Linked DNA regions of Lepisosteus oculatus. The protein of the gene in region 3 binds, or shares a complex with, the protein of the main gene of each other region. Links are inferred from orthologs where the notes say so. Each region holds a gene or a part of one and is shown on either strand. Other genes may lie near its edges.

Region 1 (3,754 bases), on a different chromosome or scaffold from region 3:
TAGATGCTATCTATTTGGATTATATAATTGATTATAACATAACAATGAGGAATAGGTTTGTTCTACCTTTATTTAGCTATTTTTTTTCTTTCCACTGCATTTTTAAATTAAATAGTATATTCTGGATTGGACAGACAGACTCCACATGTTTATGCTTTCAAATGATATTTTTGTTTGAAATAAACGTTGTAGGTAAATTTTATAATATTGTAGAAAATTTACAAAATATGAAAAAAAAACAATTAATAAGGATTTATCATGTTACTTACATGATTTTAAAGTAATATAACAACCCTAAAATACACTGCTGCTATTTCCACCATACGTTATATATATTTTTTGTACAGCAATTCAATTTTGTAAAGGCTATATTTAGATTTAATGTTTCTATATATTCCATGCATTTAAACAAAAACAGTAATTATAATCTTATCATAAATATTGCAAACTAAGAATTAATATTAAAATAAATCGACATTTTACAGTAAATGTAGCAATCATTGTTGAAATCATTTGAACTTGGTGACAAAATGTAAAATTTTAGCAAAAATGTGCATTTTAATGTTATCTCACATTTGTTCTAAATTACAGAAATTAAGTCTGCATAATTATTTATATAATTATTGAAATGGAAAACCTCAACCTTAAAAAATGAATTTACACTTGTACATAAATACAGGATGGCTTTCCACATATGAACCCCATTCTACGTTAATTCTTATGTTTGTGCTAATCTGAATAAAGTGGTGAACAATAAAAGTTTCATAAAAAAACAAATCTCAGGAAAGAAGTGCAATAATTACATTATTATTCAATGTATATATCATATATCAATGTATCCCAATATATCCATATATTATTGAACTTAACACTAATTATTATACATTACTATATTATTATACATTGATTTACTTCAAAAATAAGAAGTAGTGAGAAGACATTAAATCTTAGATCATAAAAAAGGTATAGGTACAAATTCAATATAAAAGCATATACATCAAGAAGCTTATGAAGACCAAACATGTAAATTAGCCATAAGAAGGTAAAATCAGAAAAAGAGCTTAATAATAAAAAAGAAAATGGGAAAACAGAACTTATTAGATTAATCAATGCATTTTCTATAAATGCATATTTATTTTTCAATGCTGGTGTTATCTTAAGTGTATCCATAGATGTAGCATTTTAATTCCTAAAGACCTAAAGAATGAGAAGTCAGACAGAGGACAATTATTCTACTGAGAAGCTAGAATAATGTAGTAATGAATACAATCACATTTTTGAAAGTTACACATTAAAGCTAGTGTTTATTTTACAGTTCTGAAAGTGCTTCAAGTGCACCTCAATATCTAATGTTAATTGCCTTAATCTAACTGTCTAAAAGACTGGGATAAAGCTGGTAGGACTTTATGGCAGCATACCTGTAACACAGCAGTTCCGGCACACTTTATTTCTTTCTAATCTCTAAATGGACTAAGGGTGGAACAATACTTTTATGGTCTTATCGGTGTTTTAATGTAACTAAGGGCAGGGGTTAATAGTCTTGGTGTTTCTTTTCTTAAAGAGAGACCAATGTTATGTTTCCAGTGTGTGTTTTTAAGATATCAGGTTTATATGAACCCATGACAGTTTGCAAACATCTAGGCAATTGCAAGCACACCCAGCAGTGTCAGTCAGACTTATCCATATTAGCTGTTTGTTGTTTATTTGTCAATTCTTTGAGCACAAACGCGATTATTATTTCAATTCACTTAATGCTGCAAATACAGCTGTTGAATGAAAACAATTACAAGTGGCTGACACCTATGATAAAAAATGTATACAAGTAAATGCAAAGTTTATGATTTTTTTCCATTAAACACAAAATAAGCATCAAACAAGTAATTAAAATTGAAATTGTATCAATCTGACAAAAACAAAATACATTTACTTTGGAAAACCTAGTTTCTCTATATGAACTATGCAGGCTCGATTCAGCACCTGCCCCCCCCCCCCCCCCCTGCCCCCCACCAACATACACCATAACCCCATAGCTCTCAATAATGTAAATATGTGGCACTGTTAATAGCTGAACCAGGCCACACTGTAAGCAGCTTGTCTGTGAAATTCAAGCTTTTTATGGTATTGGAGTATACCTTTTTTTCTAAGTGCTCTCTCTTTTAAAAAATCTCAAGGACATGGTATCAATAAAAATTAATAACAGATAAAACACAGAGTATAAATTAAGTTGAAAAAATATTTGCCTTTTATAGAAATCTGTGAGGTTTAAATGGTAAAAAGAATGTGCTCACTTTTTCTTCCAGAGGTACAAGGCAATGCTACTGTTTCAGTACTTTGCCTGACAGGTAGCTGTGCTATGTATTGAGCAGTAAGTACACACTACAGGGAAGCACATTGTCAGTCAACAACACAAGACAGACAGATATAGCTCACAACACAACACAGAAAACAAAAGTACACATGCAACAGCAAGAATTTAAGACAAACAAAACTGTCTATAGGTAAAACATTAGGCATAATTTCCAAAGAGAAGAATAAAAATCAAAATGTACCTACTCTTCTTCGGAGTGCAGGGAAAAACACTCTGGCAGGCAAAGTTCTACCGAATCCATGTGCGCTCTGCAACCATAATTTGAGCAAACCCCCTCTATAAATCAAAGTTTTTCCTGACAGAGCAGTGCAATTAACAGAAATGTTCTCCTGGTGACAAGCCTATAGGCACAGCCAGTTGGGACCAAAAGCTCTCGCACTCTTCTAATCAAGGACTTAAAGCCACGATTGGAGCTCATTAATATGAAGTAAAGCTTTGCATATGTAGTCCCTCTGGCCCATCCAGACGCCAGATTGGTGGCTTCCTAGCCAATTGGAACTGGACAGGGCACTGCCTGCACATACTGAGGGGAACTGAGCAGGTGGAGTGGGTGGAGAGAGACAAAGAGAGAGAGTGTGCCTGAGAGAGAGAGACAAGACAGAGAGATGGAACAGGGTGAGAGAAAGAAAGGGGGGCTTTAAAGAACCAGCACATTCTCTTTTTTAAGACAATGCTTATCAGTTCAAGGTGTCAAGCTTAGAGATTAAACCTTTCAGACTTTGACAAACACAAACCATTGTGAATGAGAAATATGATGCATGATGAACATCATTTGTGTATGTCTGAGTGTGCACGTGTTTAATATACATGAATAAATACAAACATATCAACATTGATAAGGAAAGAAAAAAATATAAACTCTTGCTAATTACCAGTTGTGGTGTAGGGGGCTATGAGCACTAAAAAACAACTTTTGTATCAGAGCTTTGTGGCCACATAATCTGTTGAAAAAAAAACTATGGGTTTTAAGGCCTCAGTTAAATTTCCAGATTAGACTGACTTTTGATTGAAATACAAAATAGGACCAGTTAGCAGTAAAAAAAGGGAAAAAAACGACTTAATTAAAGCAATGTAACCGTCCACTGTAAAGTTTAATTAAGGCATTCACAACATGGAAGACAGTAAATTGGTAAAACTAATTTAATGCCAATGAATGCTGGCTTCTAGGTTTAAGCGAAGAAGCTAATTAACTTACCCAAGCTGTACAACAAAGTCAAACTCAAGCCAGTTTGTCTTTTGGTATTAGAATTAAAACCAAAGAACCTCTGACTAACACAACCAAGTAACTGTTATCAGGGGTTCATATTTGCTCTGTTTCCTAAAACAAAACAATAGGAATTATACATAGAAAAAAAACCTTAACAAAATAAAACTAAGTCAGACCTC
Region 2 (3,754 bases), about 58 Mb from region 3:
TTAATAACCTCTTTAAAAATACTGAAAGCGTTAGAATTAATTAAAAGATCATATTCTGCAAAAGCAAACAATGAATTGTGATAAAGAAAAACAATAAGTTGTTGTTTTTTATACATCACATACTCTTGCCTGCGATGTTACAGAAATACCCACTTAACCACATTTTGTTTAAATAATATTGGATCGTATTTCCTGTGCGCTCTTCAGTGGACATAAGCTAAACAGCTGTCGCTCGAGATTTTGAATTATCCGTCACCTAGTGTGCACATCTCCACAGTTTACAGTTTAAATCTAGAGTGAAATATCTAGTCTTCATAAGAGTTCGAAAATAGGAAGTACTCTAATTAACCCAGCGGACCCAGTACAAGTTATGCGTTTTGTGCGTGTTTTCTACCCTGTTCTTACTAGGCACTTTATCTTACATAGCCTACGGATTTTTGTAATTATTTAGGCCTAATAAATTGTAAATATTTTTTGTGTTTTGCAACAAGAAAGAAGGCATCGGTGCTCCGTAGGTTTTAAGATGATGTACAGTATGGGCATTCATTTAGAAAGAGTGCTTAATTGAATTTGAGCTCCATTCATTGCGTTAAATACTGTATGTTATCTTTCTGATTAGCATGGTTTACAAAACATACAGGTCGGTTGAACATCTAAGTACTGCGGCAGTTCTTTTTTTTCTCCAGGACTGTTAATTGTAATCTTTAACGTTTGTGCATTCAATGAATTCAAATTCTGCCGTTGGTTTGAAGACACTGTTAATTACAATAAAATATCACAGCGACCAGAAATTAAAACAAAGAAACTCCTACTGCAGGTAACAAAAACAACAAGGGCAAATATTATTCTGTGAAGTTTGCTCCATCACGTAATAATACATTCTTTTTGTTGTTATTATTTCTGTTCGTCATTTCATTCCGTGGAAATATATTCCTGGAACGTCATTTATAACTTGGGAGCGGTTTTTTTTTTTGGAAGCCTTGATTTATGCATTTCTGTAATACAGTACCTCTGGGCAGAGCAAGGCACATGCTAAAAAGCCTTCCCCATCTATTCTCTCTGCTATTGACAGATTTTCCCTGGCCAGCTCCGTGGGTAATTTCACAGACAGTGCTCTTTCTCTCTAGCGCTGCCAGTGGACAGTCGCACACACACACCCACCTCTACCGAGACCCGCACATTCACATTTCATAGTTCTACTGTAAAATAGATAGAGGGAGTCTCAGAGCTCGCCATTCATAGACCATCCACGGCGAAATCACCATAATTAAAAATAATAATCCTAAAAAAATATTAAACATGGAGTCCGCTCCAGATCCAGCCAGCGACCCGGGCAACAGCTCCTCGGAGCCGGCTACCCCGGTAAGGGACACCCCGGTAAACCTGGAGACTCTCCGAAAAGCTGACCATCAAGCCCCTGTTCGGAGGCAGAGCTGCTCCAGTACCAACAGAGGTAAGCTGCTAATGTTTATAGACATCTGTGTAATATTAGAGGCACTGGAAAATAAATATCAGAGGCAACTTTGAAAAGGCAGACTGCTCCCGGTGTGTGTATGTGTGTGTGTGTGTTTTTAAGGGATCACGAAACCTTTTTTTTAAACGATTATTGTGTATATGTGAGGTGTCGCTGAAAACACCCGTGAAGCCGTTTTTCAGCAAATAAAAGTTTTTACAGCTGTAAATCTGTTTTTAATTCTGCAACTTAGCAAGTGCTACTGTATCAGCGCGTTCGGCAGCCCTCTGACGGCACCAGCCATAACTGGTGTTGAAGTAAGGAGAGCCGAGCGTGTAAAGAAGACACAAAACAGACATTTTTTCCCCAGGAATTACGGAAAATTAAATAAATTAGCCCGTGACCGGGAGGAAGCACAGGGCACTGTAAAGTGATAGTCTCTTTACTGGATATTGTTATTTGGGAGGGCCGCCGACATTTGTCAAAAATATGAAATCCAAGGTAGTCTGTGCGAACTTTGGAAAAGTATGACAGGTGTTTCACGTCTCTTGAAAGTAACTTCTGTGTGAATTGATGTTTAAAGGCAGGCGATTTTGTTTTAACTGCGCTGTTCAATTACTAAGCAGGCGCATATTTCAAGAACCACAAAATATTTGTTACACCGGCGCAAATTTTGTCAAAGTGCTCACACGTTGCATTTGCAAGACAGGATCCGGGGAGTACGCACATGACAGCAGCGTAACAGCGGGCAGATGGCTTTTATTACAATAATTTCCTCGGGTGTAGGAGTCTGATTTTTTTTATTAATGTCTGTTTCTTGCATTTTGAGCTGAAATATGGCTGGCTGTTTTACAGTACAGACAGTACGTACTGTAGCCACACCCACCAGACAGCCTCCATTCACGTAATGCAAGTGAAGTTGGGGGGAAAAAAATGATTATATACTAAAGAAACTTGTTACAATAAAGTAGCGAGCGATGCCAGTGTTCACCCGATCCGCTGTGCATTTAAAATTTCATTCTGTGCATTAACACGGGGCGGTCGTCTTCCATCGCATTTCCTCCAGCGAAACGTACAGTATATTTAGAGTCTGATACGTTGAATGTGGAATGTAAGCTGGTTATGTAACAGGTTTAGCCATAAACAGGGGAGGGAGAGAGCAGGGAAAATCACTGCAATTCTTGTACGGTTTGCATAGACGGCCGCTGAAAGTCATATCCTCAGATACAAACAAAAATGTAACTTTCTGCAATGTGCAAATCCGGTTGCATTTTAGGGGATAGAAGCGTGCAAGACTTGTGTTGATCCGTTGCTATAGAAAGAAAACATTGTTTCACTTGGTAACTTGGTAGTTTGGAGAAATCCCTGGGTTATGTAATACCGGGCAAAGGCAGGTACAAAGGCATTTCGCTGTTTGAAAATTTTAAGGTTGATCTCACGGCGTTTGTATTGAATTCTGGCTCTGACACTCCTGACCCGGTGACCCATATTTTCACCCTTTCTGTATAGGATTTAAGCGCAATGAAAAAAAAAGGCTAGGGATATGAACGCCTTCACATTGTTATGTAACTCGTTATTTAGTGGGAAAAACAGCAGTAGGAGAGACCGGGGCAGACGGTTAACTTTTGCCGAGGTTATGAGTTTGGTAAAACATTGACGCATCCATTCAAACGTGGCCTTCCTCCTTACAACAAAGCAGGATAAAATATCCTCTTTTATTGTTTTTTAAATTTCTGTATTGAAAGTGCTCTTTATTAGAATGAGCTCGTTCCCAATCTTTGGTCAATCCAGAATTGTTTGTATTTTGATTAAAATATCTCAAAAGTTCAAGAAAAAACAACATCAAAAACATCTGTAAGTGAATACCAACAAAAAGCATTATTTTTTAGGTATTTTTAATTTTCAACAGTTTTAATATAAAAATTGTACTAGTTCTGTCATTTGAAGGTGGGTTATACAGTATTTACAGGGATGCCGGGAGAGGGGTGTATTTAAAAGAACTGCATATTCTTTCCCGAAAAGTAAAGGGCATTTTTGATGTTTTTGGTGGCATCAAGATTAATGAAAAATATCCATTACTGAGTTTCGAGCATGTGGTGCACCAAGTCAAGTAGAAAAAATGCTACCTCAAATATTTCTCTGTAAAAATTTCCTACCATGGGAGAAATTAAATGTGCAAAGTTAAACTTACCTAAAAGCTGTACAAAAACAACAAACGTGACTTAAACTAAAGAATTAGAATCGACTTTGGAATGCAAATGAAGAACCATTAAATTTTAAATTACCACTAACTAAAATGTA
Region 3 (3,754 bases):
TCTCAAATCTGATGAAAAACCTACCCTATTCCAAAAACATGACCACTTCATTGTTCATACAATTTTAAGTATACCATGGACAAAACATAACTTTTAAACCAAACTTGACCAGAGTTTTTAATTTTTTTAATTTTCTATTATCAAAGACTTCACAAAATAGTAAGAAATGTGAATAGCATGTGTTCATTTACAACACGATAAATAGGTCCTACAACAAAATGCATTAAATAATCAACACTACATTCTGAGCAGCTCACAGTAAAAGTATTTTTCATGTCAAATCTATACAAGTGAATTAAGAAATCCTGTACAATCGGATACCAATGAGCGCAATAGGACATGGTTCTGAAGCCCCTGCTTCTAACGAAAGGTATTCAGCAGAAAAATCCAACTTCAATCCAGTAGTATCCATTGCACTTACTATATCGTGTGCGAGTTCCTAGTTGCCAAGTCTCAGTCATTCTGCACGAAGTATGTGTATCCCCACAACTTTGAAAGATGCCTTGTTGGTATCGCAATAACCAAGAAGCTCCCCATTAACTAAAGAGCACCCCCTCCTGAAAGGGACTTGATATACAAGCAACTATCTAAATTCTAAATTCTGTGAAAACACAACTAGCAAGCTCACACGCTGTATTTTAACAAACTGGAAATGACCCAGTCACAAATTAATGATAATGTCTGCTGTTGTGATGTAAAGAAAACCAAACTAACGGCGCTCCCAATAAACACATCTTGAACTGTGAAGATCTCAGGGATCAAACAGCTTCCCCAGTGATGATGAAGGTCTATCAGTCCAGAAGAGCACACACAGGCTATGAAATGGTCGCAAACGGTCTGAAAAATAATTCCGTATTAGGCCCTAATCATACTGAAGATGTTTAAAAAAATAAGTCTTTTGTGGATGAAAAGTATAATCGCAGCCCTGTAAGAACTCTTTAAAGGTCCTTAGTAAACGAAAAGATGTTAAGATTTCCGTAAACAATTAAGCAAAAAAAAAGCAAAAATTAGAATTGACATTTTGAGTATATTTTCATTACAATTAAGAAAACTATTATGGTGTTTTCTCTAGTTTGTGGTTGTGCACGTGGGCTGCTGTCCGTTTCAGTTTATGACACCAAGTTAAATTTCTGATAATTAGTAACCCTGTAGATTTTCCAATGGGTTACTACAGACTTCCTAAAATTTCAACAGCGCCTACAGAGCTAACCTAAAACGGTACTTTTACAGGCAGAGACAGAACCACTGTTCGCAAAGTAGTACATGTTTAACATTACTATCTGAATTCCAATCTTATCAACTAAATTTTGTTTTTCTGCTGCAAAACATAACGTTACGTCTGATGGCCACGTGTGCCAGTGTATAATTACAGAAGGAACTTCTCTATTCTGGATCGAAACCATATGATCCACCTCTTACAGCACCAAGTTAACTATTGAATTGCAGTCCTGCTATGCGTGCGCTACCATAGTCTCCCATTTCATGAAGCTACGATAAACAGCTTGCTAAAAAGTGTTTGTCTTTAAAGGCCACGTTGAACCCGATGTTATTAGACGCCTCGTCAATGTTCCATTGGGAAGCTATTAAGTATTTCAACATTAAAGCATAAAACATGCAAAAATTAAAGACATCAAAAAGAAAAGGGCAGAAAATGCGAGATTTTATTCTGTTGAAAATGAGCATTTAGTAAACTAACTCCACCCGCACACCGAGCCACAACGATGAACACGACTCCGCAATTCAACCCGCGACCACAGCGGAGATGCGACGGACCTTCAGAGGCACTAATGTTGCATTCAGCTGATAAAATAAAACAAAATGGAAACTACGTTTCTACACCAGTGACGTGAGGCACCGCTCACCGATCACTAAAGCTCCATTTTAGGCAGCACTTTAATGTCGATATACGTACCCAACTGTGCTAGAACCTAGCTTTTCGAAAAAATAAATATTCCAATGTTTACACAAATGCGTGTTAATGTAGATAAATTCATACTGTCACAGATCAGCAGCACGGCCCTATCTCCGGTGCTAGCGCCTTGCAGTTCCGCCAGATATACACGTACCTGCCTGGTTATGGACAGGACTCCAGCAAAGACATGAGTCGCGTCTCTGGAAACGTGGGAAATCCTTTTGCAACCTGCTTTATTTCGGCTCACTTGATATCCGTGACTATATACAAGGAACGAAAAAAAAATAAAAAAGCAAAGGATACAGGCCACATATAAGCATTCGTTTTCCTACGAAAACCTATATAATAACAATTCTCTGGGAAAAATAAAACGCCTCTAGGTCAATTTGTAGCAATCGAGCTCCGCACTCCGCAGTCGAGTCTGGCTGAAGTGTTTATACTAGGAATCCCCCAGCAGTCTGCAACACAGGCTCTCTCCTCCCCCAGCGCCGACAGCGCTTAAAGGCGCAGCGACGCCACTGCTCCTCAGCCACTGAACTTCACAGCTTCTGTTGCTTCGGATTGATCGAAATTTCCCAAGAAAGGACACAAGGAGAAGCTAACAACAGATTTCTGTAGAGAAATTATCAGTTCGAAGCAAATAACTTTCCACTAGGATCGTCGAGTATTTGTTTAGTGTAGGGTACGTGGCAAAGTGTCAGTGGTTGCAATTCTTTGTGCCTTTTAATACTCCAAAAATGACGTTACCATGACATGAACCATTTAAGAAAAGTACATACGTTAAAATATCATACAGTTTCGTTTAACAATATAGATGTTTGTTTGCGGATAATAAAATAAATATGGTTTTGTCGTTGTGTTAAATCAGACGTTTGTTTTACTACTCCCCCAAATACAGGCTGACTTAAATAGAAATGAAAAAAGCCCTCACTGATCTGGAAGGTAGATGATGAAGAAAACTGGCAGCCCTTTGAACAGCACTGCTGATGGTATAACACCTCGTGTTAGAGCTGGTTTAGGCCAAGGCTCCTCCAGTCCCTTAAGTGACTCATGCTGGGAGCTTGTTAGCTGCTGGTGGTTTTTCCTAGTTCTCTGGTGAATGAGAAGCGTTGAATCCTCATGTACCCAACCCGTCCCCAGATACCTGCACTTTTCTCGCAGGGCAACACATTTCCTGCTCCCCGCTGAGACCCCCAGAGCTCCCACCCCTGCGGCGCTCTCATTTCGCCAATAGAGCAACTTTGAGTTTCTGCGTGCAGGGCCTGATCTCACGACCCTGTTCCGAAACCCGCGGTTTTACCCCCCGAAATGTATGAACAAACGTGTCGTAGCAATAGCAACTAAACGGTAAGGCACTGCGACCCCATGTCAAGAATTAGAACTCAAGGTATGACTCCTATAAAAGTAAGGTTAGTTGAAATCATGGCAAAAATGTGTTTTTATATTGAGATGGTAAATCCTTGAGCTGATCCTAATCATGTAATAAAAGCGTTAAACGCCTTTGTTGTAATCAGCCTATTATATTTATACTTTTTTTAATTTTTATCTCTGTTAACTCATCCAAACGTTCGTGACTGTCACGATCAGGGATTTTTTGTCTCTTGGTGAGCTGAAATCAGCATTTTCTGTCTAAGGAGGGGAGTGATGTTTTCAATGTATAGTGTATATACACTATACAGTTATATCGTATTGCAATATAATGTACACGTAAAAATACAAAATGCAAATAATTGTTATGTGCTTGGAGAATATGACCTTAACAGTGAGGTCGAAGGCCACCCAAACAGCATTCTGTGTTAATCCTGAGGTGCGAGGGACGTTTGTAGAGTTATTTGGTAAAAA

What was found.
Region 1: the proteins of nrip1a (region 3) and esrrga are in contact, whole or in part, in a crystal structure (PDB 2GPP), measured with the Homo sapiens proteins. The link is inferred for Lepisosteus oculatus from reciprocal best matches to the Homo sapiens genes NRIP1 and ESRRG. Residues at the interface, in NP_001426204.1 of Homo sapiens: Ser378, Leu379, Leu380, Leu381, Leu383, Leu384, Lys385, Ser386, Gln387; in NP_001429.2 of Homo sapiens: Val277, Ile280, Lys284, Phe289, Leu294, Gln297, Met298, Leu301, Gln302, Lys448, Leu449, Glu452, Met453.
Region 2: the proteins of nrip1a (region 3) and roraa are in contact, whole or in part, in a crystal structure (PDB 4S15), measured with the Homo sapiens proteins. The link is inferred for Lepisosteus oculatus from reciprocal best matches to the Homo sapiens genes NRIP1 and RORA. Residues at the interface, in NP_001426204.1 of Homo sapiens: Thr499, Leu500, Leu501, Gln502, Leu504, Leu505, His507; in NP_599023.1 of Homo sapiens: Gln332, Val335, Lys339, Phe344, Met345, Gln349, Gln352, Ile353, Leu356, Pro505, Leu506, Glu509, Leu510.

Annotation. Positions count from the first base shown.
Region 1 is NC_090697.1:62,012,309-62,016,062, forward strand, and holds the start of esrrga (estrogen-related receptor gamma a), read right to left. Parts: upstream 2,769-3,754; 5' UTR 2,610-2,768; coding exon 2,554-2,609; exon of another isoform or gene 2,550-2,553; intron 1-2,549. UniProt on the Homo sapiens protein: Orphan receptor that acts as a transcription activator in the absence of bound ligand. Binds specifically to an estrogen response element and activates reporter genes controlled by estrogen response elements.
Region 2 is NC_090700.1:57,932,423-57,936,176, forward strand, and holds the start of roraa (nuclear receptor ROR-alpha A), read left to right. Parts: upstream 1-1,145; 5' UTR 1,146-1,299; coding exon 1,300-1,453; intron 1,454-3,754. UniProt on the Homo sapiens protein: Nuclear receptor that binds DNA as a monomer to ROR response elements (RORE) containing a single core motif half-site 5'-AGGTCA-3' preceded by a short A-T-rich sequence.
Region 3 is NC_090700.1:318,448-322,201, forward strand, and holds the start of nrip1a (nuclear receptor-interacting protein 1), read right to left. Parts: upstream 2,382-3,754; 5' UTR 2,067-2,381; intron 2,058-2,066; exon of another isoform or gene 1,913-2,057; intron 1-1,912. UniProt on the Homo sapiens protein: Modulates transcriptional activation by steroid receptors such as NR3C1, NR3C2 and ESR1. Also modulates transcriptional repression by nuclear hormone receptors.